Linked DNA regions of Anolis sagrei. The protein of the gene in region 2 interacts with the protein of the main gene of each other region in a pairwise test. Links are inferred from orthologs where the notes say so. Each region holds a gene or a part of one and is shown on either strand. Other genes may lie near its edges.

Region 1 (8,310 bases), on a different chromosome or scaffold from region 2:
TGAGCCTGAACTCAGCTATGTTCCTTTTATCTCAGCCATGCTGTTTTATGATGTTGTTTTGATTGTGTTTGTTTTATATTTTATTTGATTTATTTTGCTGTGGTTCTGTTTTTATCTGTAATAATCTCCTCCGTGTCCCCTGGGGGAGATGGTGGAGGGGTATAAAAATAAAGTAGTAGTAGTAGTAGTAGTTATCCTATTCTAGTGAAATGGAGAATTTGTTCAGGTTTTACTCTGAGCTTTCAAAGAGCTATCAATAGTACTTAACCTTATTCCCAAACAGGCTCAATACTTTGGATATCTTCTTTAAAGTTCAGACTAGAACCCAAAGTGAATTCATAGCCTCACTGACATGTGACACATCAGTCAGGACTACTCTGCCTATGGATTTTGGCACAATATAACAATTGGCTTTATTGTGACCCATTTTGAGAGCTTGTGTGGTGTAGTGGTTTGAGTGTTGGACCAGGATTCGAATCCCCACTTGACCATAAAAACCCACTAGATGACCTTGAGCCTCAGAGGAAGGGAAGGAACCCCCTCTGAACCAGTTCTGCTAAGAACCCCCCGCGCCCAATATTAGGTCCATATTGGAGTCTCTATCAGTCAGAAATGACTTGAAAGCATACAACAACCAACTGTGATTCTCATCTTTATCCATTGTGACACTTAGCTCCACCTATCATTATCTCCACCTATTGTGACACTTTACTCTATCATTAGCTCTAACTATTGTGACTTGACGTCCCATTGGCTTCACTTACAATAAGCAACTCTACCCTCTGGGGCACCAACCATCAATGCAGAGGATAACTCGCAATATTGAAAACACAAATCCTGTAAGGTTTGGATTATTTTACAGCAAATGTGATAAAACTGTTCTGATGGTCTGAAGAACCTTCCTCCTTTTGGCACATCCAATAATAGGTCTGGAAGCTCATAATACTAATAAAATCAAGGATAGTTAGTAACTTTCATGGAGTTTATTTGTTAGTTTTAGTTGGGGGCAGGGAAAAGAGATTCCACCTGAACATTAGGAAGAACTTCCTAACTGTCCAAACTGTTCAGCAGTGGAACTCTCTGCTTTGGACTGTGGTGGAGGCTCCTTCTTTGGGTGCTTTTAAGAAGAGGCTGGATGGCCATCTGTCTGGGGTGCTTTGAATGAAATTTTCCTGCTTCTTGGTAGGGGGTTGGACTGGATGGCCCACGAGGTCTCTTCCAACTCTATGATTCTGTGATAATTGGTTGGGAATGCTACAGGGTTATTTTGACTCTTCTATTTATCTTATGATGTAGAATGAATGCAGTTTGACCCCACTTTAACTGCCATGGCTCAATGTTATGGAAGTATGGAAGTTGTAGTTTTACAAGGCCTTGAGCCTCCTCTGCCAAAGAGGTATTTAGTCTACAGTGCTACAGTGAGTTAAAGCACAGCGCTGCTGAAATTGCTAATAGAAAGGTCGCAGGTTCAAATACGGGGAGCGGGGTGAGCTCCCGCTGTCAGCCTCAGCTTCTGCCAACCTAGCGATTTGAAAACATCCAAATGTGAGTAGATCAATACGTACCACTCCAGCAGGAAAGTAACGGTGCTCCATGCAGTCATACCGGCCACATAACATTGGAGGTGTCTATGGACAACGCCAGCTCTTCGACACAGAAATGGAGATGAACACCAACCCCCAGAGTTGGACACGACTGGACTTAATGTCAGGGGAAACCTTTACTTTATTTATTTATTTTAAAAAATTATATTCCACCCTTCTCACCCCGAAGGGGATTCAGAGCGGAGCACAGCATATATACAGCAAGCATTCAATGCCAGGACAAGAATTCATTATATGCATACATAAACATTAAAAACATTTGTCTCAATATTAAAATACACTGTTTAAAACCATTTTTACCATCAATCTACAAAACCCAGATTCCATATCACTGAGCTATAGCAGTAAGAGTTGCATCTACATTGTAAAATTAATGTAGTTTGACTGCTCAATGCTAAGGACACCTAAGAGTTGTAGTTTTACAAGGGCTTGAACCTTCTCTGCCCAGTGTGTCACTAATCTACAAGTCCTAGAATTTCATAGCATTGAGCCATGGCAGTTTGGACGGGGTCAAAGTGGATTAATTCTACAGTGTTGATGCGTCTTTGGTATGTGTGTATGTGTGTGCATTTAATTTGTTGGGTTTAAATGAGATTTCTGAAACTCTAATAAAAATATTTTTTTAAAGACAAGGACAGCCCTTAACAAGCCTTCCTTTCAAACTCCATTTCAGCTTTGTTTGGGCTAAAGCAGTAGTTCTCAACCTTCCTAATGGTGCGACCCCTTAGTACAGTTCCTCAAGTTGTGGTAATCCCCAACCATAAAATTATTTTTGTTGCTACTTCATAACTGTAATTTTGCTACTGTTTGGTAATATAATATAATTGTAATATAAATATCTGATATACAGGATGATTTTTCATTCACTGGACCAAATTTTGCACAAATGCCCAACTGGAGTTGTGCAGGGATTGATTTTGTCATTTGGGAGTTGTAGTTGCTGGGACTTATAATTAACCTACAATCAAAGAGCATTCTGAACTCCACCAATGATGGAACTGAACCAATCTTGGCAAACAAAACTCCCATGATCAACAGAAAATACTGGAAGGGTTTGGTGGCGCATTGTCCTTGAGTTTTGGAGTTGTAGTTCACCTACATCCAGAGAGCACTGTGAACTCTAAACAATGATGGATATGGACCAAACTTGGCACAAATATTCAATATGCCCAAATGTCAACACTGGCGGAATTTGGGGAAAATAGACCTTGACATTTGGGAATTGTAGTTGCTGGAATTTATAGTTCACCTACAATCAAAGAGCACTCTGAACGCTGCCACAATGTATCTGCACCAAACTTGGCACACTACCTACATGCTAACATTGAATACTGTGGGGATGGGGGAGAGGCTGTTTTTGAATTCTGGGAGTTGTAGTTCACCAACACCAAAAAGGAAGATAAGGACAGGTGGAGAAATCTCCAGCCTTCTCTCCCAAAAGGGTTCCTAAGACCATCAGAAATATATGTTTTCTGATTATCTTTAGTGACTCCTCTGAAACCCCCTTCGCAATCTCTCCCCCCCCCCCACAGGGGTCATGACCCCTAGGTTGAGAAACACTGGGCTAGAGGTATGCCTTTCATAGAATCTTTAAAAACTTCCAAAGAAGGAGCCTCTACCATACTCTGGGGCAGAGAGTTCCACTGCTGAACAGCTCTCACACACAGGAAGTTCATCCTAATGTTCAGATGGAATCTCCTTTTTTGTAGTTTGAAGCCATTGTTCCACATCCTAGTCTCCAGGGCAGCAGAAATCAAGTTCGCTCCCTCCTCCCCATGGCTTTCTCTTACATATTTATACACGGCTATCATGTGTCCTCTCAGCCTTCTCTTCTTCAGGCTAAACATGCCCAGCCCCTTAAGCCGCTCCTCATAGGGCTTGTTCTCCAGACCCTTGATCATTTTAGTCGCCCTCCTCTGGACACATTCCAGCTTGTCGATATCTCTCTTCAATTCTGGTGTCCAGAATTGGACACAATGGTCCACGTGTGGTCTGATCAAGGCAGAGTAGAGGGATAACATGACGTCCTTGGATCTAGACACTATATTCCTGTTGATGCAGGCCAAAATCCCATTGGATTTTTTTGCTGCTGCCTCACATTGTTGGCTCACGTTTAACTTGTTGTCTATGAGGACTCCAAGATCTTTTTCACACATACTGCACTTGAGCCATGAGAGCTGAGGAGAGTATGCCTTTTGCAAGCAGTGCTCTTTCTGCTGAGGATGTTATTTATTATTTATTTATTTACTATATTTATATACCGCCATTCTCAGCCTGAGGGCAACTCAGGGCAGTTTAAAAACGGCACCATTCGATGCCCACAATAACATAAAAACAATTAAAACATTTAACATCAATAACATTCAGTAAATAATAAACCCCATAAAAACATAGATCCTCTGCATCTCATTACCAAAATCATTACCTAATCGGGTTGTCCAGTCATTCCGAGATCAGGGTTTGTCTGCTACACAGCATTTGGGAAAGCCTGATGAAAAAAGCCAGGTTTTGATTTTTTGCGAAATGTTAAGAGAGGGGGGGGGGGCGATCTAATGTCCCTAGTGAGGGCGTTCCACAGACAAGGGGCCACTGCTGAAAAGGCCTTGTCTCTTGTTCCCGCCAACCGAATCTGTGAAGAAGGCGAGACTGAGAGCAGGGCCTCCCCAGAAGATCTTAAATTCCTAGATGTTTCATAAGGAGAGATACGTTTGGACAGATAAGCTGAGCCAGAATCGTTTAGGGCAGTGGTTCTCAACCTGGGGTCCCCAGATGTTTTGGCCTACAATTCCCAGAAATCCCAGCCAGTTTATCAGCTGTTAGGCTTTCTGGGAGTTGAAGGCCAAAAACTTCTGGGAACCCAAGGTTGAGAACCCCTAGTTTAGGGCTTTATAGGCTAAAGTCAGCACTTTGAATTGTGCTCAGTAGCCGACTGGCAGCCAGTGGAGCTGGTGCAACAGAGGAGTTGTGTGCTCCCTGAGCGCCGCTCCTAGAATCATAGTTGGAAGAGACCTCATGGGCCATCCAGTCCAACCACCTGCTAAGAAGCAGGAATATTGCATTCAAAGCACCCCTGACAGATGGCCATTCAGCCTCTGTTTGAAAGCTTCCAAAGAAGGAGCCTCCACCACACTCCGGGGCAGAGAGTTCCACTGCTGAACGGCTCACACAGTCAGGAAGTTCTTCCTCATGTTCAGGTGGAATCTCCTTTCTTGTAGTTTGAAGCCATTGTTCCGCATCCCAGTCTCCAAGGAAGACAACCTGCCCATTGGACCATTTGAAGATTCCGAACAGTCTTCAAAGGCAACCCCATGTAGAGAGTGTTGCAGTAGTCTATACGGGGATGTAACCAGAGTGTGGACTACCGTGACCAAGTCAGACTTTAATTCCAAGTCAGAATTAAAACTTGTACTGGACAAGTTTTAATTCAAAAAGGAATGCAAAAGGGGCTTGCTCCTAAAGAGGAAAAGGAAAAAAAAATCCTAGAAGTTGGGGTAGCAAGCAAGGAAGCAGCTTGTCTTGTTGCTCTCCAGCAACAGCCGAGTCGGGCTCTCTCTTGCTTCTGCAACACACCTTCAGCATGAGAGGAGGCGGGGGAGAGCCAAGGCAGGCCCGCGCCTGCGCAGTGGGGTTGTTTTTCACAAAGCTCTCCTTAAAGTGAGGTGGCAGCGGCTGGGCTTTCGTCTTTGTAAGGAGACCAACCGAGCTGCAGCGTCCCTTTGCAGGAGCCCCAATGAAGCGCTCCTAGAGAAGAACCACGCTGGTCCTGCCTGTTTTTCGCAGAGCAATACAGATCAGCGTCAAGGGGAAAGTCTCATATTTTTTTTCTATATGAGATCTTGACTCTCCCTTCCTTTTTTTCTCCTAAGAATATATTTTTATAGACTTTGCTATCAACAAAAAAATAATAATAATACTTTCAACATGGTGCTGGGGAAGGTGAAGAGTTTGACCATCAGCTTCGACTGTCTGAATGACAGCAACGTCCCCGTCTATTCCAGCGGGGACACAGTCTCAGGAAGGGTGAATTTGGAAGTCACGGGGGAAATCCGGGTGAAATCCTTAAAGATCCACGCCAGGGGACACGCCAAAGTCCGCTGGACCGAGTCGAGAAATGCGGGATCCAACACTGCCTACACGCAAAACTACACGGAAGAAGTCGAGTATTTCAACCACAAGGATATCTTGATCGGGCACGAAAGAGGTGAGCCTGGCTTTGCCCCATTCATTCCTCTCTTTGATTATTATTATTTTATTTATTTATTTCCCCCATCTGTTTCATGTTGCTTTCTGGGTTGGTTTTCAAAGATGGTTACTGGGCAATAGGACCAGTAAGAGTTTGGCGTTGCAGCCTTGGGGTGCATAGCTATTTAAACCGAATCAACCTAAATGGATTGCAAAGACCATCATCCACTGCAAAAAGAAGTATTTTATATTCCCAGGAAGACTTAGCCTCCATTTGCATCCAGTGAGTGCATTGACACCATTCCTCTCCATTTAAGTGACTTCAGTATTATAACCTTGGGGTGCATAGCTATTTAAATAGAGTTGGACCTAAATGGGTGGTGATTATTACCATCTGCAAAGGGAAGAAAGACTTCATATTTTCCAGTCTCTCCTAAAAAGGGACACTTTCACCCAAAAGATGGGTTACTCAGAAATAGGACCCAATTGAGAGCAATGGCACCCATTCTTCCCCCCAGTCAGTGACTTTAGCATTATAGCCTTGGAGATATTTAAAAACCAAACATGGTTCCTGTAAAAAGGACCCAATTGAGAGCAATGGCACCCAGTGAGTGAGTTTAGCATTATAGCTTTGGGATGTAGAGGCATTTAAAAACCAAATATGATTCCTGGAAAATAGGACCCATTTGAGTGCAATGGCACCCATTCTTTCCCCAGCAAGTGAGTTTAGCATTAAAGCCTTGGGATATAGAGGCATTGAAAAACAAAATATGGTTATTGTAAAATGCGACTTATTGAGTGCAATGGCACCCATTCTTTCCCCCAGCAAGCAAGTTTAGCTTTATAGCCATGGGATGTGGAGGTATTGAAAAAACCAAACATGGTTACTGGAAAATAGCATCCATTTGAGTGCATTGGCACCCATTCACCTCAATACTTGAGATTGGGATGTAGCCATTTAAACCTACAACACTTAAAAGACCATCTTGTTCCCATCTGCAAAAGACTTTTTTATATTTTCCAATAGGGACACTCAGTTGGTGAGGATTTTCTCTTATTACGCCTTGATTTTGCATCTGAGATAGGACCCATTGAATACAATAATACCAATTCCCCCAATAAATGAGTTTAGGATGCATGCTAAAAAAAAAACCCTAGAAGACGTAAATAGATTGTAAAGACCACCTGATTACCATCTGCAAAGGGAAGACTTTTTAAAAAAAAAAAAAAATCCCACTGTCTTTCCAAAAGGGATACTTTCACCTGTGCATCCAGTTAGTGAGGAATTTCTCTTAATGCTTTGCTTTTAAACTATTTCTCCCTATATCAAGGTACCTATATGGTGACCCCCTCCCCTCCCTCTATATCAAGGTGCCTTATTAAGATCACTTATGGGGCTTCTGTGGGTGATGTCCTTTGGAGAGGGTTGCTGGGCGAGAAATAGGTTCCCCGTGGTGCGTTTTGACACTTGCTTTCAGCACCCCACGTGTACCTCTTGCATTCCCTTTTAAACTCAACAAAGTTGTGGGGAAAACGTTGTTTCGGAATATTTTTCCTACAAATGCGGATGGATAATTGGGTTTTGAAGTGAAGGAGGGGGACCCCCCCCCCCATTGAATATGATCAATAATTGCATTATTAACAGCATCCTTTCTAAGTTGGGGCAGTCAATGGAAAGCTCCCCCCTAGAGCTCTGCAAAGGATGCCTGATATTAGCCAAGGGAGTCAAAAATGGAACAAACCTCCCCAAAGGGGTTCCCTATGCTTCTGACTGTTTAATCTGTAGATTGCTATGGCACCCAATGTGGAAGTCTAGGAGAGTCTAAGGTTGTTTTTCTGAAGTTTCCACCCTTTGTTCAAAGCGGTTCAATCCTGTTTGGGACCAGTCCTGGGGAGAAGGGAGGGGGCTGCGCCTGCTCCTCCAAAGCCCATTGGCTGCAGGCGTGTCAGGTGGTGGCGATGACTTAATTCCTAGCACAAGAAAATGGGGAAACCGGTTATGTAATTGTGGCTTGCCCTTTTTATATATAGAGAGAGCGAGAGAAAGAAAGAGAGAGGAGATATATATCCTCACACACATATATATGAACATATATTTACATACATGTATATACATATCTTCTCCATATGTGTAGATATATATAGACCACATTTTTCTCTATCCCCCTTTCTCTATAAATAATTTCTCTCCCTTTCACACACATATACACACACTTATCTATATTTATGCAGATTTACTGCATATATGAGAATTTAATAGAAGCCTTTTTTGTTAAAATAAGCAAGTTGCAAATTAGCCATTCCCTTGCTTTCGAGGCAAGTCTTTTCAGCTTCCTTTTTGCCAAAAGATGGAAGAAGGCAATGTCTGCATTGAGATTAAATGGCATTTTTTTTAATCTTGCTATTCAAAGTGCACATTCTTCCCCGGGTATTTGCAATTTTCAAGAGGCACTTATTCAGAAACTAAAAGGTGCAAAAGACAATGTCCAAAATCCTGGTAGGAGACAGGCGTTAGTAGTAAAAG
Region 2 (7,965 bases):
CTCTGTCTTGAGAAGGCCTTCTCTCTGTCCTACCACCACCTTGGGTCCTTTTGTTAGGAACAATGGAGAAGGCCTTCTTGGGGACTGCTTCCACACTACAGATCCCCCTCCCAAGGGAGATCTAACTGGAGAGCAGCTACTGGGTCTCATGAAATTGTTTCAAATCAGTTATTTATGGAAAGTATAGGATGAATAGCACTTCATTTTTCACAGCAAGAGAGAAATAGATACTTGTAGGGTTTGTTTTGCTCCAGGTGCTAAAACTACAAGACTGGTTTTGGATAATAGGTGCCTTAACCTAAGGAGGTGGAGCTGGTGCTTTACTAGAAAAAGTCTAGTGTCTAGTACTAGCCCTACTACTAAACTCACTGGTGCAGATCCTGAAGTATAACATGGATTACAATGTCACATCTCTTAAGCAAAGGTGGAAAAATTGTGAAAATAAATCTTGAGGATTAAAAAAATAACCAATTGGAGTCTGAGAAATTAGCGACTGCTTTAAGCAACCTAATACCTGACAATATCATTTTATGCCTGTTTACCCAAAAGTCACACTGAATTTAATGGATTTACTGCCTTGTAAGTCTGTTTAAGATCACTTGTTCATGTTACCACAATATTGATAATTATGAAACTATGAGAAAGCGAATAATAATTAAAATTAAAAGAACCATTGGATCTTTAAAATGTCAGTATCACATATGACACAGCACAACGTCCATGCATCTCATGCAAATCCTTGTTTTTTAAAATGGGATAAATACTTATGTATGAGCTGTCATGTTGTTATGTAACTCAATGCCACAAACAAGTATTACCTGCTTGTTACTAGGTTTTTGTTGTTCCCAGCCTACAATCCCAGAATTTATTTACTATTTTGTACCAAACTCTTACAACTGACTTTGAAGGAGCTGGGGGTGGTGACGGCCGACAGGGAGCTCTGGCGTGGGCTGGTCCATGAGGTCACGAAGAGTCGGAGACGACTGAACGAATGAACAACAACCAAACTCTTAAGGGTAATAAATAATTGTTTCTCAGCACATGATGGGAAGCAAAGACAACTAGTATTTTCCTTTTTGCTTCTTCTCTCTGGTCACCTTCCACTTCTTTTAACATTGGTTAAAAAACAATCCTCCTTTCTTTAAAAATAATCCTGTGGAGCCATCATTTCTGAGTTGCTATGAGTTTTCCAGGCTATATGTCCATGCTCCAGAAGCACTCTCTCCTGATGTTTCACCCGCATCTATGGCAGACATCCTCAGACGTCTCACAACCTCTGAGGATGCCTGCCACAGATAAGGGTGAAATGTTAGGAGAGAATGCTTCTGGAACAAGGTTATACAGCCTGGAAGAAGCACAACACAGTGATTCCAGCCATGAAAGCCTTGGACAACACATCATAATATCCATGGCCAAATCTTGGGTTGGGGATAATTGCCCTGTGAACTGCTCTGAGTGCTCTTCAGGCTTGGGAAGGGTGGTATACAAACACCGTAAATAAATAAATAATCAGCCACATTTCCTTTATTCCTGATTAGGGGCTTCAAGTGATTAGAAAACTTGCATGGATTGGTACAAATAAAGAAGAGGAAAGGCATGCTTTCAGATTTTGGAATTTCTATATTTCCAAATACATAGGTAACCTTGGAGCTGGCATCCAAGTATAAACAGGAAATCGTATGTCTTAATCATACCTTATAATAACCTGATGCACAAAAGTATTTTTAAAATATGTTGCATGAAACAAAGTTTGGCAAAGTGAACCATCAGAAAGCAGAGGTGTGACTCTCTCAAACATTCAGGTGGGCTATTTCAGATTTTGGAGTAGTATTTTGAAGAAGGGGGGCTAAGGGCCCTTCCACACTGGCAGTTCAACACTTAACTTCATCAAACAAGAGAATGAATCTACTTTAAATCTGGTGTCTGTGTCCTGCAGAATTCTGGGGTTTGTAGTTTAGGGAGGAGACTTAAACAGCCTCACTAAACTGCAAACCCCAGAATTCTGCAGGAGGCAGAAACCAGATTTAAAGTGGATTCATTCTCTGTGATGAGTGTGGATTTACTGCCTTAATATTCTGGGTTATAGTACTGTGTGGAAGGGCCCTCAATCAGCCTTTGTTTTAACTTTCCTGGTGATAGCAGAAACACAACTGGGTGCACTTTCCTCTCCTCTGAGTCCATCTTCTACACCAGGGGTCCCCAAACTAAGGCCCGGGGCGGATATGGCCCTCCAAGGTCATTTACCCGGCCCTCACTCAGAGTCACACAACAATAATTTGAAAGCACACAACAACAACAACAACAACAACAACAACAACAACAACAATCCTATCTCATCAGCCAAAAGCAGGCCCACACTTCCCATTGAAATACTAATAGGTTGATATTTGTCTAAATTGTTATTCGTAACAATTATTGTATTCTTTTAAAGTGTTTTTGCACTACAAATAAGGTATGTGCAATGTGCATTGGAATTCATTCTTTTTTTTTTCCAAATTGAAATCCTGCCCACCAACAGTTTGAGGGACTGTGACCTGGCCCTCTGTTTTAAAAAGTTTGAGGACCCCTGTTCTACGCTGTAGAATTTAAGCAGTTTGACACTACTTTAAGTGCCATGGCTCAGTGCTACCGAATTGGGAGTCTGACAGGATCTCTGCCAAAGAAGGCTGATGCCTTACCAAACGACAACTCCCAGCATTCCATAGCCAGGGAAGTTGAAGCGGTATCAAACTGCATTCATTCTACAGTATCTACAGGAGAATAAGATGCACCCTTTTCTTGTTTACCACCATCCATCCCGAAGCGAGTCCTTACTGGACCCCCAAACAATCCCAAAGTCCAAAGAGCAGCAGAAGGAAGGATGGAAAGAAGGAAGGAAAGGAAGGAAGGATGGGAGGAAGGGAAGAAAGAAAGGAAAGAAAGAAAGGAAGGAAAGGAAGGAAGGAAGGAAGGAAGGAAAGGAAGGAAGTAAAGAAATGAAGGAAGGAAAGAAAGATAGAAAAGAAAGGAAGGAAAGGAAGGAAGGAAAAAAGAAAGGAAAGAAGAAAGGAAGGAAGGAAGGAAAGGAAGGAAGGAAGAGCGGGAGAGAGGGATGAAAGAAAGGAGAGGGACTGAGAGAGAGAGAGAGAACCAGGCGAAGTACTTACTCGTTGTCAGCTTGGAGAGGGCTGGAGAAATCCTCCTCCTCCTCCTCCTCCTCCTCAATCCTTCTGGATGCAAACCCTCTCCGGCGCTAGGCTGCCATGGCTTAATCCGCTTTCTCGGGTGGGAAGGAAGGAAGGAAGGTAGGTTCCCGTGTGGTTGCCCTGCCTCTCTCCTGTTCCTCTAGAAGCCGGACTGTGAGCCAGGCGGGCCCCCTCCCTCACCCCAGTGCAGGAAAAAAAGGGCTGGGGATTTCCAGAGCCACGGAGAGGCAAGCGAGGGACTTTCCGGCGGGAGGCATGTGACACTCGCGGTGGCCTTTGCCGGCGCTGCTGCTGCTGCTGCTGCTGGCGCTGTGGCCGGCCTCTAGGTGGCGCTGCTGTGCGAGAAGCCAGGCCCGCGGAAGCCTCCGCCGCTGCCGCCGGCACGTGACTCCGACTGCCTCGCATCATCATCATCATCATCAACATCACTGACGTCATCATCGCTCCTCCTTGGCTTGGCAGCCTGGGTTTCTCCCCTGGGGTATCCCCACCGTGATTCTTCCCTGCTTCAGCTGTGGCTCTTGCCCGAGTTTTTTTTCAAGTGCATCTACAGCACTGGTTCTCGACCTTCCTATTATCTTCCTAACCCCTTCATACACTTCCTCATGTTGTGGTGACCCCCCAACCATAACATTATTTTTGTTGCTACTTCATAATCGTAATATTGCTACTGTTTTGGATCGTAATGTCAGTATCTGATATGCAGGGTGTATTTTCATTCACTGGACCAAGTTTGGCACAAATGCGCGATATGCCCAAATGTGAACACTGTTGGAGTTTGGGGAAAATAGACCTTGATATTTGGGAGTTGTAGTTACTGGGATTTATAGTTCACCTGCAATCAGAGAGCATTCTGAACTCCACCAACGATGGAACTGAACCAAACTTGACACACAGAACTCCCTTGAGCAGCAGAAAATACTGGAAGGGTTTGGTGGGCATTGACCTTGAGTTTTAGAATTGTAATTCACCTACATCCAGGTAGAGCACTGTGGACTCAATCCATGATACATCTGGACCAGATTTGGCATAAATACTCAATATGCCCAAATGTAAACACTGTTGGAGTTTGGGGAAAATAGGCAAAGGTTTTCCCTGATACGAAGTCCAGTCGTGTCCAACTCCAGAGGTTGATGCTCATTTCTAAGCCAAAGAGCCAGCATTATCCGTAGGCGCCTCCAAGGTCATGTAGCCAGGATGACTACATGGAGCATTATTACCTTCCTGCTGGAGCAGTACCTATTGATCTCACATTTGCATGTTTTCAAATTGCTAGGTTGGCAGAAGCTGGGGCTAGCAGCGGGAGCTCACATCACTGCCCGGATTAGAACTTGCAACCTTTCGATCAGCAAGTTCAGCAGCTCAGCGGCTTAACTCACTGTGCCACCTTGATATTTGGGAGATGTTGTTACTGGAATTTAGTTCACCTACAATCAAAGAACATTCTGAACCCCACCAATGATAGAATTGGGTCAAACTTCCCACACAGAACCCAAAAGAAAATACTGTGTTTTCTGATGGTGTTTGACGCCCCCCCCCCCCCCCCGGAGTCCCGACCCCCAAGTTGAGAAACACTGATCTACAGTGTAGAAGGAATGCAGCTTAAGACTGCTTGAAGTTGGGAGCCCCCTCAATATATACAATACAATACAATACAATACTATACTATATAGAAATAATAACATTGTAATGTAATAATACTAAAATATATAATATTAATAATGTTGTAATATATATACTACAACTTGTGATATAGTGCAATATATTATATAATACCAATAGTATTATATACTGGTATAATATTAGATATAGTGGTATAGTAGTAGTATAAACTGGTAGAATATTAGATATAGTGGTATAGTAATATAGTACAATATAATAATATATAATAATATAATACAAGTATATTATATATTACATGTAATATTACTAATAATATTGCAGTATAGTGGTATAGTACAATATAGTAATGTATAATACTACTATTGTGCTATGCTAATAATATAATATATTGTATAGTCCTATAATATTGATAATAATATAAAGGAATACAATATAATACCAATAATACAATATAATAGTATAGAATAATATTGTAATATAGTAATACTAATATATTAAATATACGAATATGTTAAATATAATGACTACTGATAATATATAATGATATGCTGTTTTATTGTATATTTTAAGTTGTAATGTTTTGGATTATGGATCGCTTTGAGTCTCCATATAGAGAAAAAACATGGGGTATAAACAATAAAATAATAAAATAATAAAATAGGGAGTTTGGTGAAGCACCACTACTCTTTGGCCGAGAAGGCTGAAGGCCTTGTATAATACAGTTCCCATCATTCCATAGCATTGAGCCAGGGCAGTTAAGGTCGTGTCAAGCTGTAGTCATTCTATTGTGTAAATAAAACATGTGCAAACTTCAGCCCGCCAGGTGTTTTGGACTTTAACTCCTACAATTCCTAACAGTCATATATGTGATCCAGAAAGAACACAGAAGGAAATGGATTGGCAGAGTCCTTATTTTTCAAGAATGCCATGGGTCCCAAAAGGAGAACAAAATAGTACTTCCCAATTTATGTAAGCATCTGATGGGAAATGATCAGAGAGCTGTGATGCAAGAAACATCATTATCAGATTTTTCTTTCTTTCTTCATATTGTTGCTATTAGTCAAGTGGGAAAGGAATCCTGAATTGCAATGGAAAATTATTTGGCAACAACAAATGTTATTTGTTACAGATCGTGGTGGGGTGCTGTACAACATAATTAAAATACACAAATAAAACTAAGGACTATACAAAGCATATATATATATATAACAAAGATTAAACCACCAATACTATAAAACATAAATGTAAAGACTATTCCTGTGGCTTACTAGCAGAAGGAAAATGTAAAATAAGCATAAAAGGTAAAGATAAAGGTAGTCCCCTGACATTAAGTCCAGTCATGTCTGACTCTGGGGTGTGGTGCTCATCTCCATTTCTAAGCCGAAGAGCCAGCGTTGTCCGTAGACACCTCCAAGGTCATGTGGCTGGCATGACTGCATGGAGCGCCGTACATAGGTACACCAAATAATTTTGCTTTATTTGTTTTAAGGAGAATAATGTGATTTTTTGATGTCAAGTTTGTGTTACACAACTTAGCTCTTAAATATTTAATGTATAATATACTGCTAGGACTTGCCGTGTACACAATGCAGCATTTTATTTAATGCCTGTGATGGAATCCCTCTCACAATCGTATTTATTTATTTATTTTATTTTATTTTATTTTATTTTATTTGTTTGTTTCATTTATATACCACTTTTCTCAATCTGTAGGGGGACTCAAAGTGGTTCACAACAAAGCAAATGGCAAAATTCAAAACCTCACAATATAAAATGTATTACACTATTAAAAACAAATAACAATAGATTAAAATCAGTAATCTATAAAACTTTGGATGTAAACAAACATAAAACATAAGACATTCAACATTACACCAGTCCCAAGATATCTTGGACTACATCATCTCATTCTCTGAATGCTTGTTTGAAAAACTTGTTTGAGTAGTTTCCTTAACATCAGGAGGGAGGGACCAATCTAATCTCATGGGGGAGAGAGTTCCACAGCCGAAAGGCCACTACTGAGAAGGCCCTGTCTCTCGTCCCCACCAGTCGCACCTGCGAGGGCTGCGGGACCGATCTTAATGCTCTACCTGGCTCATAAAGAGAGATACATTTGGATAACATATAGTTAAAACGTTAACAAAGAAAAAATGAAGGGTCAAGATAAGGGGCTAAATAAGTAATTATATTATGGTGGGACAAGATATTGCACCCACAGCAAATCTTTGCTCTTGGGATATTATGGACTGTATTAACTTTGTTAAGGATATTCCATTAAATTAATGCTTGAATGTTATGCCCATGTTTTAAAAGTATATAGTGTGAATGCAAACTATGCAGTAGCTACAGAAATGCACAATTGAGATTTCTGTCAATTTTAAATATTTCAGGCTATGAAAAATGAAGTCAGTTATCAACTGATGAGAGGTGAGACATTATTGTTAAACTGTAGTGGTCGAGATAGGAGTGAAATCACCATAGATAACACTTGATAGTACTATGCAGAAAGAGGCATGGTAAACTGCTTCTAAAGTTACTATGAAAACCCAGTGATGAAATAATGCAAAATTAAACAAGAAATAATGTCAGAAATTGATAGGATATGGTTGGAAGGCACTCAACAAACTACTGAGACAGAACAGAAGACAGCTGTGAGTAGTGCTATGGTGAATTAGGCAGCTGAACTCAAGCCAAAAGGACATTCAGCTGTTGGCCTCCTCATAGGGGAAAGGAAAATCCAAAACAGTGTATTATACCAAAAAGTATTATGGGAACATGGGATGAGAGAAGAATGGATTAGGATAAGAAACAGACTCCCATGAAGGCCATTAAATGATGCAAAACTACTTCTGGTGGTTGCCCATGGGGCTCTGGTTTTAAAGTGTCTGGAAATTGGCATTCTTGGAGTCAGGTGCTGCCCAAATCCAGACATCTCAATTCACTTGGAAGTGGGAAAAGGTGGGAACTTTAACGTGTGATGGCAACAGCTGGATATCTCTGTTGTATTGTTGTATGACAGCAAATTGAATAATGATTGCTTTTGAAGCAGTACATAATTGAGACAATAATTCTCTGTACACTGGAATATACAAAATGCAAAAATAAAAGACAGTTCCGAGCTTCTGCTCCCCCTTCCCATGGGATGAGGTCCTTAGAT
Region 3 (8,242 bases), on a different chromosome or scaffold from region 2:
TATTTAATATTACTGTATTTACTCTATTCTAATGTACCACTGAATCTAATGTGCCCCTCAATTTTCAAACTCTGAAACCAAAAAAAAGAAAAAGGATTTGCTGGTAAATATAATGTGCAGTAGCAAAAATGCACTCTTTGTAATCTGGTCAAAATTACATGCTTAGATTTGATTTTTTAAAAACAAAAGTGTTAGAACACCAAGGCTTTTAGCAATTGAAAGGAAAACCTTAGGATGCATCTGTGCTGTAAAATGAATCCACTTTAACAGCCTTGGCTCAATGTTATGAAATCATGTATCTTTACAAGGTCTTGAGCTTTCTTTACCAAAGAATGCTAGTGGCTTGCCAAACTACAAATTCCAGGACTGCATAGCATTAAGCCTGGCAATCAAATTTGAGGTGACATCCCTCAAATAAGAGCTCCAGGTGCAACTTCTGAAACAGCTTCCTCTTTTGCTTTGGATCAGCACCAAGATTACCAAATTACGCAAATCCAATGCACAACCTAGTGCAGCCAAAAAAGGTAAGCATTACATTCAAGTAAATATTATAATATCCAGTCACTACAGAGTTTGTGGCATGGTATAGTATGGTATGGAGTTTATTATCAGTTAGGCCTATTTTTAATAGCACCTCTCAAACAACCAGAAACTAAATTTATCTGGCATCCAAAATAATAAAATTTTACAATTTTAAACCAAGGTGCCATTCTATCCCCAATGTTCTTTAATGTTTACTATGAAGCCACTGGGAGAGATCATCCATAAACATGGGCAAGGTGATCTCTCTGAGTGGCTTTATAGTAAATATTAAAGAACATTGGGGATAGAATGGCACCTTGGTTAAAAATTGTAAAATATGCTGATGACACCAAAATATATTTCTCCGCGCCTTCAAAAACAGCTTCAGCTATGGATACTGTGTCTCCTCTGAATGAATGCCTGGAGCAGGTAATGGGCTGGATGAGGAAGAACAAATTGAAACTGAATTCAGACAAAAAAGAATTGGTTGCCAACAAGGGTCCTAATCTGGGGATGGAGATATGTCAATCAGTTCTGGATGGGTTTACTGTCTTCACAGCTTGGGAGTACTCCTGAATCTGTCTCTCCAAATGTCAGCCCAGGTAGATGCAATGGTCAGGAGTGCTTACTATCACCTTTGGCTGATACACTAGCTGTGCTCCTTCCTAGATTTGGAGGACCTGAAGATGGTAGTGCACGTGGCTAGTAATCTCAAAGTTGGAAATTACTAGTCATAGATTTATTCCTGCAATCTTACCCAGTCAGTCTTTAAACACATATACACACAGAAAACACATATACACAGACTGGGCCACAGCAACATGTGGCAGGGGACGGCTAGTCTATATAAATAAAAATGTAATGTTCGTTTGTGAGATTAACAGAACTCAAAAACCACTGGACGAATTGACACCAAATTTGGACACAAGACACCTAACAACCCAATGTATGTTCTTCACTTAAAAAATTGATTTTGTCATTTGGGAGTTGTAGTTGCTGGGATTCATAATTCACCTACAATCAAAGAGCATACTGAACCCCACCAACAATGGAATTGAACCAAACTTGGCACACAGTTCTCCCATGACCAACAGAAAATACTGGAAGGGTTTGGTGGGTAGTGTCCTTTGGTTTTGGAGATCACTGTGGACTCAAACAACGATGGATCTGGACCAAACTCTACACGAATACTCAATATGTCCAAATGTGAACACTGCTGGAGTTTGGGGAAAATAGAATCTTGACATTTGGAACTTGTAGTTGCTGGGATTTATAGTTCACCTACAATCACGGAGCATTCTGAACCCCACCAATGATAGAATTGGGCCAAACTTCCCACACAGAACCCCCCCCCCCCCCGTGGGTCACAGCAACGCGGGGCAGGGGACGGCTAGTAATAAATAAAAGATTGGGAAGCCAAGTCCCATAAGGAATGGCTGAAGGAGCCAGGTGTATTTGGCCTGGTGATGCAAAGTTTAAGAAGGCATGACATGACAGCCATATTTAATTGTTTGAAACAATGTCACATTGAGGACGGAACAATCTTGATTTCTGCTTCTCTGGAGACAAAGACACGGAGCAATGGATTCAAATGACAGGAAAATGCAAGATACTCCACTTTGGCAGGAAAAACAAAATGTAAAGATACTGAATGGGGGACACCTGGCTCGAGAGCAGTACGTGTGAAAAAGATCTTGGAGTCCTCGTGGACAACAAGTTAAACATGAGCCAACAATGTGATGTGGCGGCAAAAAAAGCCAATGGGATTTTGGCCTGCATCCGTAGAAGCATAGTATCTAGATCCAGGGAAGTAATGCTACCCCTTTTCTGCCTTGGTTAGATGACACCTGGAATATTGTGTCCAATTCTGGGCACCACAATTGAAGAGAGATGTTGACAAGCTGGAATGTATCCAGAGGAGGGCAACTAAAATGATCAAGGGTCTGTAAAACAAGCCTTATGAGGAGCAGCTTAAGGAGCTGGGCATGTTTAGCCTGAAGAAGAGAAGGCTGAGAGGGGATATGATAGCCATGTATAAATATGTGAGAGGAAGTCACAGGGAGGAGGGAGCAAGCTTGTTTTCTGCTGCCCTGGAGACTAGGATGCGGAACAATGGCTTCAAACTACAAGAGAGGAGATTCCATCTGAACATGAGAAAGAACTTCCTGACTGTGAGAGCCGTTCAGCAGTGGAACTCCCTGCCCCGGAGTGTGGTGGAGGCTCCTTCTTTGGAGGTTTTTAAACAGAGGCTAGATGGCCATCTATCAGGGGTGCTTTGAATGCAATATCCCTGCTTCTTGACAGGGGGTGGACTGGATGGCCCATGAGGTCTCTTCCAATTCTATGATTCTATGATTTCTGATGGGAAGAGCTCTTCCACATTATAATATACGTACTGCAGCAGCGTGTGCTGGAGTCCCCTGTATTTCCTTCCACGTCGCGTCTTCCAGCGACAATCTCCTCCTTCCCCTCCATGCTAAGCTTTTCTCCTCCTTTCGCCCGGCCATAATCCTCTCACAACTTACATAACGCCCCACACACAACAGATTAAGCACAGGCCCCTTTCGAGACTTCTCCCTCGGCCTCGTCAGGCGGCTCCTACCTGGCTTCCCCCTCCAAGCCAAGGTTAACCGCCTCCTTTGGAAGCAAACCCTCTGCTTTAGACAACAGGCCTGGTCCCTCACCTTCCGTCTCTCTCGGAAAGGGGGGCGGGGAATTGTTACCACAAACGTGACAGGAGAAAAAGAACAGGCCGCACTAACCCCTCACAACCTCGCCAAACACACTCCAAGTGCCAAGAAACAGCCGTCAACCGACTAGGCCTCTCACCTCCTCAGACGCCGAAGGCTTCAACAACTGCGAACGCCAGCCGCCGCCATTACCGCCCTGGAACCCCGCCCCCTCCGAGACGCCAGCGTCACTTCCGGCCCGCGGCGCTCGGGCTTTCCCCCGTCCTCTGCGCGTGACGTCAGCGAATCGACGTCGTGCGTGTTTGCGCGTCATTCCTGCGTCCGGCCCTCTCATAACATCGCCCCCTCCCCTCGGAAAAGAGTGGTATTCCTCGTTACTCTTACACGTAATTAATCCAACCTGCACCTTCAAACTGCATTATATGGTCCACGTAGATCAGGTATGGGGAAACTTGGGCCCTCCAGGTGTTTGGGACTCCAACTCCCACCATTCCTAACAGCCTCAGGCCCCTTTCTTTTCCCCCTCAGCGGCTTAAGCGGCTGAGGGGGAAAAGGAAGGGGGCTGAGGCTGTTAGGAATGCTGGGAGTTGGAGTCCCAAACTCCTGGAGGACTCAAGTTTCCCCATACCTGATATAGATTCATATAATGCAGCTCAATGCAGTTAAAAGGCATGTGACAATATAATGCAGTTTCAAACGGTGTAAATGGGATTATTGGTGTTTACAATACTGCAAGGGAAATATTTATTATTTTATTTATTTATTATTTACGATATTTATTGGGAAGTCGGATCTGGCCACGGTGGCCCACACTCTTGTTACATCCTGGATAGATTACTGCAATGCACTCTACGTGGGGTTGCCTTTGAAGACTGTTCGGAAATTTCAATTAGTCCAGCGGGAGGCAGCCAGACTGCTCACCGGAGCGTCATACAAGGAGCATACCACCCCCCTGTTATGTCAGCTCCACTGGCTGCCGATCCAGTTCCGAGCATAATTCAAAGTGCTGGTTTTGGCCTACAAAACCCTATACGGTTCCGGCCCAGCGTATCTGTCCGAACGCATCTCCCTCTACGTCCCACCTCGGAGTCTGAGATCCTCTGGGGAGGCCCTGCTCTCGGCCCTGCCTCTGTCACAAGTGAGATTGGCGGGGACGAGGAGCAGGGCCTTCTCAGTAGTGGCTCCTCACCTATGGAATTCACTCCCTGGGGAAATTAGATCAGCAACATCCCTCCTTTCCTTCAGAAAGAAATTAAAAACATGGATGTGGGACCAGGCGTTTGGGCAATCTGGCAGATGAACAAAGGACTGTGACGACGGATAGGAATGGACAATTGTGGAACTAAATATGGACTCTGAGCTGGCGAACACTGTGTCTGAGATTGGCTATCGATTGTGAGATATATTGTTGTTTTAATTGTTGACCATTTAATTGCTGGTTTTATATGTTATTGTATTTATGTAGGCACCAAGATGCGCCTTTTTGTAAGCCGCCCTGAGTCCCCCCTCGGGGGTTGAGAAGGGCGGGGTAGAAGTATACGAAATAAATTAAATAAATAAACCGGCCTTTCTCAGCCATACGGCGACTCAAGGCGGGTTACAGATTAGCACAATTCGATGCCAGGCATTCATAAAAGTGCAATTAAAAACAACCAACATTACAATATAAGTCATATATAAACACCGTTAAAACATATAATCATTGGTGTCATCCTGCTAAAAATCCAGTAAGTATAAGTATTAAAAAAACCTCTAAAATTACAACAGCAAAACAACAGAGAGGAAACAATCTGTGACATCTAATCACCTCTCAACAAAAGATTGCCCCAGGCACTGCCAGGCCATCAAATGCTAATCAAGGTGGTCAGTTGAAACATTCACACCTAGCTCCATTAGACAAGAGTCCTTTGTCCCACTCTGGTCATTCCACAGATATATAAACCCTTTTTTCCTAGTTCCAACAGATCTCACTACCTCTGAGGATGCTTGCCATAGATGCAGGCAAAACGTCAGGAGAGAATGCCTGTAGAACATGGCCATATAGCCTGAAAAAAGCCTTCGACAATACGTTATCCAGTAACATCGTCGGGTCATTCCATGTTCATCATTCATAGTTCCGTGTTATCTATTCTGCATTCTCAAAAGCTTGCTCAAAAGCCAGGTTTTTTTTTTCAGAAAGTCAGGAGGGAGGGGGCCGATCTAATATCCCTGGGAAGGGAGTTCCATAGCCAGGGGGGCCACTGTCCTTCATCTCTGCCAATCACACTTGTGAGGCAGGCGGGATCAAGAGCAGGGCCTCCCCAGACAATCCTAGATGGTTCATAGGACATACGTTCGGATAGGTAAGCTGGGCCGGAATCCTTTAGGGATGGTTTAATACTGGGTTGAGGCCAATGTAGATCATATGTGCCATATGTATCTCATCAGAATATGTAAAAAATGTTTTGGAATATGGTTTAGAATAATTTGTATATTTTTAACTTAAAATAGCTAGGAATGCTTTTTTATATAACTCTAAGGAAACTTTTTCTTCAAAATGATTCCGCCTCAACTGGTCCAATTCATCTTCTTACATCATTCCTCATTCTTTAGCTTTGGTGGGGTTGCCTTATTCTCTTGGGCTCCATCTATGCTGACCATTTAATGCAGTTCGCAGCTAGCTTCAGATTGCGGCGGCCGAACAAAAAACTCCCACAAAAGCACATGAAGGGAAGCCCTTAATGTGCATCACGATTCTGTACTTTGTGTAATCACCATCTGGGCCTCAAGCTGATTTGAGGATTTCCTATGTAATCATCCACACAGCATGAGCACTTTCTTCAATACTGGTTTGAAAATGCATTAAATTATAAATGTACATGTGACCATGGTTGAGTACAGGCAGTCCCCAACTTACAAATATCCTGCTTATAAATGATTCATAGTTAAAAACAGGAGCAAGGCAACAGGAAGAGAGGGAAAATTCACTCATAAAAGAGTAATCTCTTGAAGGAGATTCCCCCTTAACATTAAGAAGAACTTCCTAACTGTGAGAGCTGTTCAGCAGTGGAACTCTGTGCCCCAGAGTGTGGTGGAGGCTCCTTCTTTGGAGGCTTTTAAACAGAAGCTGGATAGCCATGTGTTGGGGGTGCTTTGACAATTTTCCTGCTTCTTTAAGCAAAAATTAGAGTAAAGCTAAAATAACACCAAACTAAGTATCATGCTGAAGTACAACCAGAAGAACATCCCTATAGAATTTAAAGATTAAAAATTTTTAGGTGAAATAATCGATGCACACTTTTAAGCCCAATTGACCAGGAACCAGTAGCACGCTGGACTGAAATGAGGGACATTTCCATGGAGAATGCAAAAAGACACTTTCTGCAGCCAAAAAGACCCCAGAGTCAATGGATGACATGAAACTCTTCATGTTTATGTTGCTAGTATTGTTATTTTTGCCTATGTTGCGATTCTGTATGTGCTGGTGTTGATACTTGGAACCAGCCTGACTCCGTTCGAGGTGATAGAGTGGTATATAAATAAAGTTTATTATTATTTATTATTATTATTATTATTATTATTATTATTATTGGCAGGGGTTGGACTGGATGGCCCATGAGGTCTCTTCCAACTCTATTATTCTATAATCATGTGGAAAAGGTGTCTCTACTGAAGCTTTAGAGCCAGTCCTGTTTCCTCAACAAACCATTTTTAAAAAAAATCCAATTATCACAGGGACAGAAAGTGAGGTGAAATCTTCTGAACAGTGGCACAAGCAGCAAAACAAACAGCATGGGTGTGTTAGCTCTTCCCTATGCTATCCAAAGTGTGTGTGTGTGTGTATACACACAGTAGAGTCTCACTTATCCAACCTTCACTTATCCAATGTTCTGTATTATCCAATTTAGTCCAGGGTCTGAGAAAGAAAGAACTCTTGTCTGTTTTGGTGCTAAATTCATAAATACAGTAATTACTACATAACGTTACAGTGTATTGAACTCCTTTTTCTCTCCTTTACCTTCAAGTGGTTCCCTTCATGAAGCATGGAATGAAGATTTGACGTAGGTTCTCCTTTGACTTTCCTTCCCCCATTATATTTTTTGGAACGGAGGAAACTTTCCCTACATCCTCAGGCAAAAGAAAAGAAAGGGGTTAAATAAAAAGGATGAAACCTCAGGAATGCCCTGACCGGATATAGAGCTGAGAATTTCCACTAGAAGTTGTGCAACTCAGAAACATAACATAATAGCCCAGGGTTTACCAGAAGAATTGAACCAGGTAGAAGAGCTCTACATTTTTTTCTTTCAACAGTTACAAAAGACAATATATTTTTATTTTACTCTCACTATCTGCATCATGTAATATAGTTCTCCAATGTATATAAAGCAGTAGAAAGAAATCTACACAGTTGTATAACAGAGCTTGGGTTGATGGAAGCATAAAGCATAATAATGATACTGTGTAATGGTACCAATGCAAAGCAGTACAGATCAATGCTTCATTATGGATGTAGTCTGGCTTTTGCGCCAGTCTTCCCAAAAAGCCTCGGGCTACTTTGAAATGTGAAAGGTATATATCAGTCATCACTTAAACAGGAGTTCATTTTTGGTGTTGCTATACAGTGTGCTTTATACGTCAGTTTTTCATCTAAAATAATTGAGCAGAATATTAATCATGACATCACTTAGTATCTGCCTTTTTCAGTCATGAACGATGCTCCTGTTATAGACTCAATTAGACAATGTTTGATCCCTAGGTAGTAAAACTAATTGTGGTACACATACTTTTATAAAGATGGAAGGCATCCCTTAGGAACATATTAGAAATAACGTATTGCTAGTATCACCTACACAGAAGAAAATCCTATGTGTATTTTGGAGATCTTTGCCAACACTTAATTAGAATTGATGAACTAAATCTATTCAAAGGTTGCCAGGTTATTTAAATGAGTATTCGTGAGACTGAAGAAATGTGTGACTTTTCCCATAAGCACATAGGTGAGAGCAGACACATTAATTGTGTATGTGTGTATGTATGGGAGGGTGGAGCGT
Region 4 (7,747 bases), on a different chromosome or scaffold from region 2:
ACATATGAATAGGAGTCTAGCTCGCTTCCAAGCACACCGACATTTCCTTTCTCTCTCATATTCTATTTGTTTGCCTACCAAAAATGGGGGCATTTCCCCCCTATTTCCCCCATTGAAGGACTCAACGGCTGCCACCTTTGCCATGCAATATTCCTAACGTTCCCCATATCCAGACACATATATAGGAATCAGAACCGGAGCCAATGTATTGAACAAAATCTACCAATTCCTTTCCAAGCAATACAAATGATAACAACAGCCCAGTTTGTGTCATATTGGAAGAGTAGTACTGGAATAGTAAAAAAGAAAAATGGCTGGACATTCTGTCTTTCAATCCATCCTTCGATTTTTGCACAACCTCCCCTTTTTGCTATATATTAATTTAAATTGCACTCCTTCCCATCTTTGGAAATCACTCTTTTCCATTTGTAACTCTCCTTTTCCCCCCTCTGTTCTTGTCTCTATGCGTTACGTTCGAGGGTATCCATATATGCATATGTAGTGCAAGCAGACACACACCTATGTGTGGACCTATATATGTGTATACCTCTCTCTCTACATGTATATGGGGTATCTATATATGCATGTGTGTGCGTGCAGACCAATACCTATATGTCGACCTATATATGCATAGCCCCCCTCTCTATATATGGGGGTATCTATATATAGATATGTGTGTGTGTGCAGACCAACATCTATATGTGGATCTGTGTGTGTGTGTGTATGGGTGTATCTATATGTACATGTGTATGTGCAGACCGATACCTATATGTGGATCTGTGTGTGTTTGTCTGTATCTATACGTACACATGTATGTGCAGACCAACACCTATATATGGATCTATATATGCGTATACCCCTCTCGCTATATATGGGCGTTTCTATATATACATATGTATGTGTGCAGACCAACACCTATATGTGGACCTATGTATGTATATACCCCCCTCTCTCTATATGGGGGTATCTATATATACATGTGTGTGTGTGTGTGCAAACCAACAACTATATGTGGATCTATATATGAGTATACTCCCCTTCTCTCTCTATATATGGGGGTATCTATATATACATCTATGTGTGCAGACCAACACCGATATGTGGATCTATATATGCATATACCTCTCTCTCTCTCTCTCTATATATATATATATATGCATATATTACACATAAAATATATATGTGTATAAATATATATGTGCATAAGTATACATATTATATATGTGATACATATACATATAGGTGTGTGCATTTATGTATATTATGTGTGTGAAGGTGCATAAGTATGACCCAAAATACATTGGGGCAAATGAGAAATTGTAGCTAAATGTACCTTTAGTTGCAAAATACTCACATATAGATAGATAGCTAGAAATAGATAGATATAATATACGAGTTTGCTAATTTTTCCCATTTATGGGGACTTTTAGGCCACCCTACACATATGTGTATATCTATGTACACTAAATATGTGTGAGCATAGATAATTATGCATATATGTATATATAATATGTATGTATATATATTAATAAGCTATTAATACCCCGGAAATCTATATATTAATACCCCAGAAATCTATACATTAATACCCTAGAAATCTATACATTAATACCCCAGGAATCAATAGATATTAATAAACCCGAAATTAATATATATTAGTATATACATAAATTAGTATACATATTAGTACCCCAGAAATCAATATATATGAATAGCCCTGAAATTAAAATATATTTACCCCAGATATCAATATATATATTAATACCCCAGAAATCAATATATATTAATACCTCAGAAATCAATATATATTAATACCCCAGAAATTAATATATATGAATAGCCCTGAAATCAATATATATTAATACCCCAGAAATAAATATATATTAATACCCCAGAAATTAATCTATATTAATACCCCAGAAATCAATACATATTAATACACCAGAAATTAATATATACGAATAGCCCTGAAAGTAATATATATTAATACCTCAAAAATCAATATATATGAATAGTTCTAAAATTAATACATATTTACCCCAGATATCAATATATATATTAATACCCCAGAAATTAATCTATATTAATACCTCAGAAATTAATATATATTAATACACCTGAAATTAATATATATTAATATACCAGAAATTAATATATATCAATACCCCAGAAATTATTATATATTAATACCCCAGAAATCAATATATATGAATAGCCCTGAAATTAATCTATATTTACCCCAGATATCAATATATATTAATACCTCAAAATCAATATATATGAATAGTTCTGAGATTAATATATATTTACCCCAGAAATTAATATATATTAATACCCCAGAAATTATTATATATTTATCCCTGAAATCAATATATATTAATATCCCCAAAATTAATATATATTAATACATCAGAAATCAATATATATGAGTAGCCCTGAAATTAATATATATAAATACACCAGAAATCAATATATATTAATACACCAGAAATTTATATATATTAATACACCAGAAATTTATATATATTAATACCCCGGCATCAATATATATGAATAAATATTAATACATATTATTCCAGATATCAATATATATTAATACCCCAGAAATATTGATTTTTGAGGTAAATATATATTAATTTATGGGATATTAATACAGATTTACCTCAAAAATCAATATATATGAATAGCCCTGAGATTAATCTATCTTTACCTCAAAAACCTCTATGAATAGCCCTGAAATGAATAGATATATAGGTATCAATAGCCCAGAAACCAATAGATATCGATTCCCCAATAGAGATCAATGGGGGCGAAAAAGGAGGCGGGCGGGCGCCAAACACTCACGTTCTTCATGGCAGCCGCCATGTCGTCGTAGCGCTCAGCCTGCTCGGCCAGCCGGGCTTTCTGCACCAGCTGCTCACGGTCCACCATCTTCCTGGATTGCGGTTGTTTTTAAAATAGATAGAAATAGTAAAATTTAAATATATCTATTCAAAAGACAAGAAGATGGGGAAATTTCTCGCCCGACCGAGTCGCCTCGGAGAGAGAAACACAAAACCAACCGGGCTGAAGGAGAGAGAGAGAGAGGAGAAAAAGAGCAAGCGAGCGATCTGATTGGCTGGCCGGGCTTCAGAGAGGGAAAGAGAGGGAGAGAGACGGAGAGCGCGCACAAGGCTCCTTCCCCGCTCGCGCCGCGACTGCTCTGACGGCAGAGGCGACGCAGCGAAGGCGGCGGCGCGCCTCTGCGCATGCGCGGCATTCCTGCCAAACAGAAGCCCCGCCCCTTTCTCTCCCTCCTTTTTCCCCCGCCCCTCTGCGCTTGCGCGGCCCTCCTGCCAAACAGAAGCCCCGCCTCTTTCTCTCCGGAGAGCCACGCCCTCCTTTTCCTCTTCTCTAAAACGCTCCCGCCCTCTCCCCGCGCGCAAAGCACGACGGGAGATAGAGTTCCCTTGCCGAATGATAGTAACGCGGTCAGAGCTGAAGCCGCGGCGGAGGGGACTACATTTCCCAGCAAGCCACGCGCGCTGCTTTTTGTCCTCAAGCCACACACTCATTCAGGGCTTGGACTGGATGGCTCTTAGGAGTCCCTTTCCATTATATTGTATTATAATACATAATATTATAATATTTTAATACTATATTATAATATATAATATAGTAAATTATTAGTATTATATTATTTTTAATATATTATAGTTATATTATAATACATAATATTCTAATCTAATATTTAATACTATATTATAATATATTATATTATAATTAGTATCATATATAGAATATTATGATTATATTATAATACATATATTATAATTAGTATTATTTTATATATTACATTAGAATTATAATGTAATATATTATATATTATAATATATTACATTAGAATTATAATATTATTTTATAATATATTCTATTATAATTATATTATAATATAGTATAATATATAATATATTACATTTTAATTAGTATAATAATGTTATATATACTATTATAATTGGTATTATATTATATAGTATATTATAATTATATTATAATACATAATATTATAACATAATATTAACATTCCAAATTATAATATATTCTGTTATAATTAGTATTATATTATAATATATTACATTATATTTATGTTATATTATAACATATTATATCTTCTATATAATATATTTTATATTGAATGTTTTATATTGTGTATAAACTGTTTTAAATTGTAAGTCGCTCGGAGCACCTTGGTAGAGAGCGACTAATTAAGAAATAAAGTGATGATGATGATATAATTATTAGTATTATAATATTATGTTATAATATATTATATTATAATACTATATTATATTATAATTAGTATTATAATTTTGTAAGATAATATATAATAAACTTATTTATTATTTATTTATTTCGGTTACTTCTACCCCGCCCTTCTCACCCCGGAGGAGACTCAGGGTGGCTTACAAAGGCACAATTCGATGCCGACATCACATAACAGTAGTATAAAACAATCTAGCAGCAATTAACAGTTAAGAAACAGTTCTGCATATAACAATAAAACTAATAAGCCGATAAAACCACTAAAAACCAATTGCACCTCATTAACGGTCAGCGTTCGCCATCTCATAGTCCAGTTTCCAATTCCACTTTGTCAGTCCTGTCAGTCCTAATTGTCTGATTGTCCTTATCTAGTTGTCAGATTGCCCAAAGGCCTGGTCCCATAACCACGTCTTTACTTTCCTCCTGAAGGAGAGGAGGGAAGTTGATGACCTAATTTCCCCCAGGAGTGAGATCCACAGGTGAGGGGCCACCACTGAGAAGGCCCTGCTCCTCGTCTCCACCAACCTCACTTGTGATAGAGGTGGAGTTGAGAGCAGGGCCTAGCCAGATGACCTCAAACTCCGGGGTGGGACGTAGAGGGAGATGCGTTCGGACAGGTACGCTGGACCGGAACCGTATAGGGTTTTGTAGGTCAAAACCAGCACCTTGAATTGTGCTCGGAACTGGACCGACAGCCAGTGGAGCTGACACAACAGGGGGGTGGGGTGCTCCCTGTATGATGCTCTGGTGAGTAATCTGGCTGCCGCTCGCTGGACCAGTTGAAGTTTCCGAACAGTCTTCAAGGGCAACCCCCACGTAGAGTGTGTTGCAGTAGTCTATTCAGGATTATATTACATTATAATTAGTATTATAATGTTATATTATACGAACAGTCTTCAAGGGCAACCCCCACGTAGAGTGTGTTGCAGTAGTCTATTCAGGATTATATTACATTATAATTAGTATTATAATGTTATATTATAATATATTATATATTCGATTATAATTAGTATTATAATATTATAATACTAATATTCTAGGGGTCCCTTCCAAATCATTATGCGTATTGATAGATAAGGCACCATTCAATCCCTCCTGTCAGATGGCCATCCAGCCTCAGTTAAAAACACAAACCACAGAATTTCAGAGGTTGAAGGGATCCCAAAGGCCATCCAGTCCAACCCCATTCCTGCCATGTAAGAAAAACACCATGTAAGAAAAACACAAGAAAAACACCATCCGTCCTGACAGATGGTCATCCAGCCCTCTGATAATAATAATAATCTATACACCTAATGAAAATATCCTAGGGGTCCCTCTAAAGGCCATCCAGTCCAGTCCCCTTCTGCCAGGCAGGAAGGCACCATCAGATCCCTCCCAACAGATAGCCACCCAAGCTTGTGCTTCAAAGCCTCTAGAGGAGGAGACACAGTCCTTAATGTGGAGGTGGAATTCAAGCATAGAGCAAATGGGCTATAGGGCCATGGTCTAGAGGCATTCTCTCCTGACGTTTCGCCTGCATCTATGGCAAGCATCCTCAGAGGTAGTGAGCAAATGGCTTTTCCAGGTCTTTTTGTTTACGACCGCGCCTTTGGCCTCGGTGGATGAGCATTTAGTTATTAATCATTCATTAATAGTGTATTTATTATTAATTAACCCAGGACGATGGGCGTCAAAGGGTCCAGGTGGCAGACCCCACTATTATTTCCTCTCCTCGGCTGTGATGTCTTCTTGCCGCCCAAACATCTGCCAAATTGCCCCATTGTTTGGCTTCTTCCCTTTGTCTTTGCTCCATCCAATCCCAATGGGTTTCAAAGGGATGGCCCAGATCTTAAATTTGGACGTTCAAAGGTCCAGAAGGGATCCCCAAAGGCCATTTAGTACAACCCTTTCCAATCTGCGGTCATTTTGGATGTGCAAAGGCGTAGGATTGGAAGGGATCCCCAAAGGCCATCTAGTCCAACCCTTTTCTGCCATGCAGGAGGACACAATCAAAGCCCTCTTGACAGATGGTCCATCCAAACCTCTGCTTAAAACCTCAAAGAAGAAGATGGTCCAATGTGATCTCATCGTCCAAAGATAAATAATAAATAATAAATAAATAATAAATAAATAATAAATAAATAATAAATAAATAATAAATAAATAATAAATAAATAATAAATAAATAAATATGAATATAAATAAATAAATATAAATAAATAAATTGTCGAAGGCTTTCATGGCCGGAATCACTGGGTTGTTGTAGGTTTTTCCGGGCTATATGGCCATGTTCTAGAGGCATTTTCTCCTGACGTTTCGCCTGCATCTATGGCAAGCATCCTCAGAGGTAGTGAGGTCTGTTGGAACGAGGAAAAAGGGGTTTATATATCTGTGGAATGATGTCCAGGGTGGGACAAAGGACACTTGTCTGTTGGAACTAGGTGGGAATGTTTCAATGGACTACCTTGATTAGCATTTGATGGCCTGGCAGTGCCTGGAGCAATCTTTTGGTGAGAGGTGATTCGATGTCCTTGTTGGTTTGTTTCCTCTCTGTTGTCGTGCTGTTCTAATTTTAGAGTGTTTTTTTTTTTAAATACTGGTAGCCAGTATTATTAATGAATAAATAATAATAATAAATAAATAAATAAATAAATAATACTGGTAGCCAGATTTTGTTCATTTTCATGGTTTCCTCCTTTCTATTATTTATTATTAAATAATAAATAATAAATAAATAATATATATAAATAAATAATAAAGATGTTGAAGAGCCCCGAAAGGCCTAGGACAAAGCTGGGGCTGGATGGCCATCTGTCGGGAGTGATTAGATGGTGCCTTATTTGGCCACTGTGGGCTCATGCTCAACCCATGGTTTAGTTAACCCTCCGACTATAATTTCTCTCTCCAGGAGGAAGGAAAAAGGAGCAGCCATTGGACGGAAAGAACCCATAATAAATAAATAATAATTAATTAATTAATAAAAATAATAAATAATAATAAACAATAAATAAATAAAACATAATAATAATAATAATAATAAATAAGAAAGAAAGAAAGAAAGAAAGAAAGAAAGAAAGAAAGATGTTGAAGAGCCTCAAAAGGCCTTGGACAAAGCTGGGGCTGGATGGTCATCTGTCGGGAGTGATTAGTTGGTGCCTTCTTTGGCTACTGTGGGCTCATGCTCAACCCATGGTTTAGTTAACACTCCCGACTATCCCTTCTCTCTCCAGGAGGAAGGAAAGAGGAGCAGCCATTGGATGGAAAGAACCCATAATAAATAATAAAATAATAATAATAAATAATAATAAATAATAAATAATAAATAATAAATAAATAAATGATAATGAATGAATAAATAAATAAATAAAGATGTTGAAGAGCCCTGAAAGGCCTTGAACAAAGCTGGGACTGGGCGGCCATCTGTCGGGAGTGATTAGATTGTGCCTTTTTTGGCCGCTGTGGG

Evidence for each region.
Region 1: the proteins of TNFAIP3 (region 2) and ARRDC3 interact in binary tests that used the Homo sapiens proteins (3 or more experiments, as listed by UniProt). The two-hybrid records come from large-scale screens. The link is inferred for Anolis sagrei from reciprocal best matches to the Homo sapiens genes TNFAIP3 and ARRDC3.
Region 3: the proteins of TNFAIP3 (region 2) and TAX1BP1 interact in binary tests that used the Homo sapiens proteins (3 or more experiments, as listed by UniProt). The link is inferred for Anolis sagrei from reciprocal best matches to the Homo sapiens genes TNFAIP3 and TAX1BP1.
Region 4: the proteins of TNFAIP3 (region 2) and YWHAG interact in binary tests that used the Homo sapiens proteins (3 or more experiments, as listed by UniProt). The link is inferred for Anolis sagrei from reciprocal best matches to the Homo sapiens genes TNFAIP3 and YWHAG.

Annotation. Positions count from the first base shown.
Region 1 is NC_090022.1:255,829,103-255,837,412, forward strand, and holds the start of ARRDC3 (arrestin domain-containing protein 3), read left to right. Parts: upstream 1-5,254; 5' UTR 5,255-5,525; coding exon 5,526-5,805; intron 5,806-8,310. UniProt on the Homo sapiens protein: Adapter protein that plays a role in regulating cell-surface expression of adrenergic receptors and probably also other G protein-coupled receptors.
Region 2 is NC_090021.1:79,201,489-79,209,453, forward strand, and holds the start of TNFAIP3 (tumor necrosis factor alpha-induced protein 3), read right to left. Parts: upstream 3,246-7,965; 5' UTR 3,147-3,245; intron 1-3,146. UniProt on the Homo sapiens protein: Ubiquitin-editing enzyme that contains both ubiquitin ligase and deubiquitinase activities.
Region 3 is NC_090026.1:90,671,152-90,679,393, forward strand, and holds the start of TAX1BP1 (tax1-binding protein 1), read right to left. Parts: upstream 3,459-8,242; 5' UTR 3,352-3,458; intron 1-3,351.
Region 4 is NC_090031.1:32,897,660-32,905,406, reverse strand, and holds the start of YWHAG (14-3-3 protein gamma), read right to left. Parts: upstream 3,229-7,747; 5' UTR 2,932-3,228; coding exon 2,845-2,931; intron 1-2,844. UniProt on the Homo sapiens protein: Adapter protein implicated in the regulation of a large spectrum of both general and specialized signaling pathways. Binds to a large number of partners, usually by recognition of a phosphoserine or phosphothreonine motif.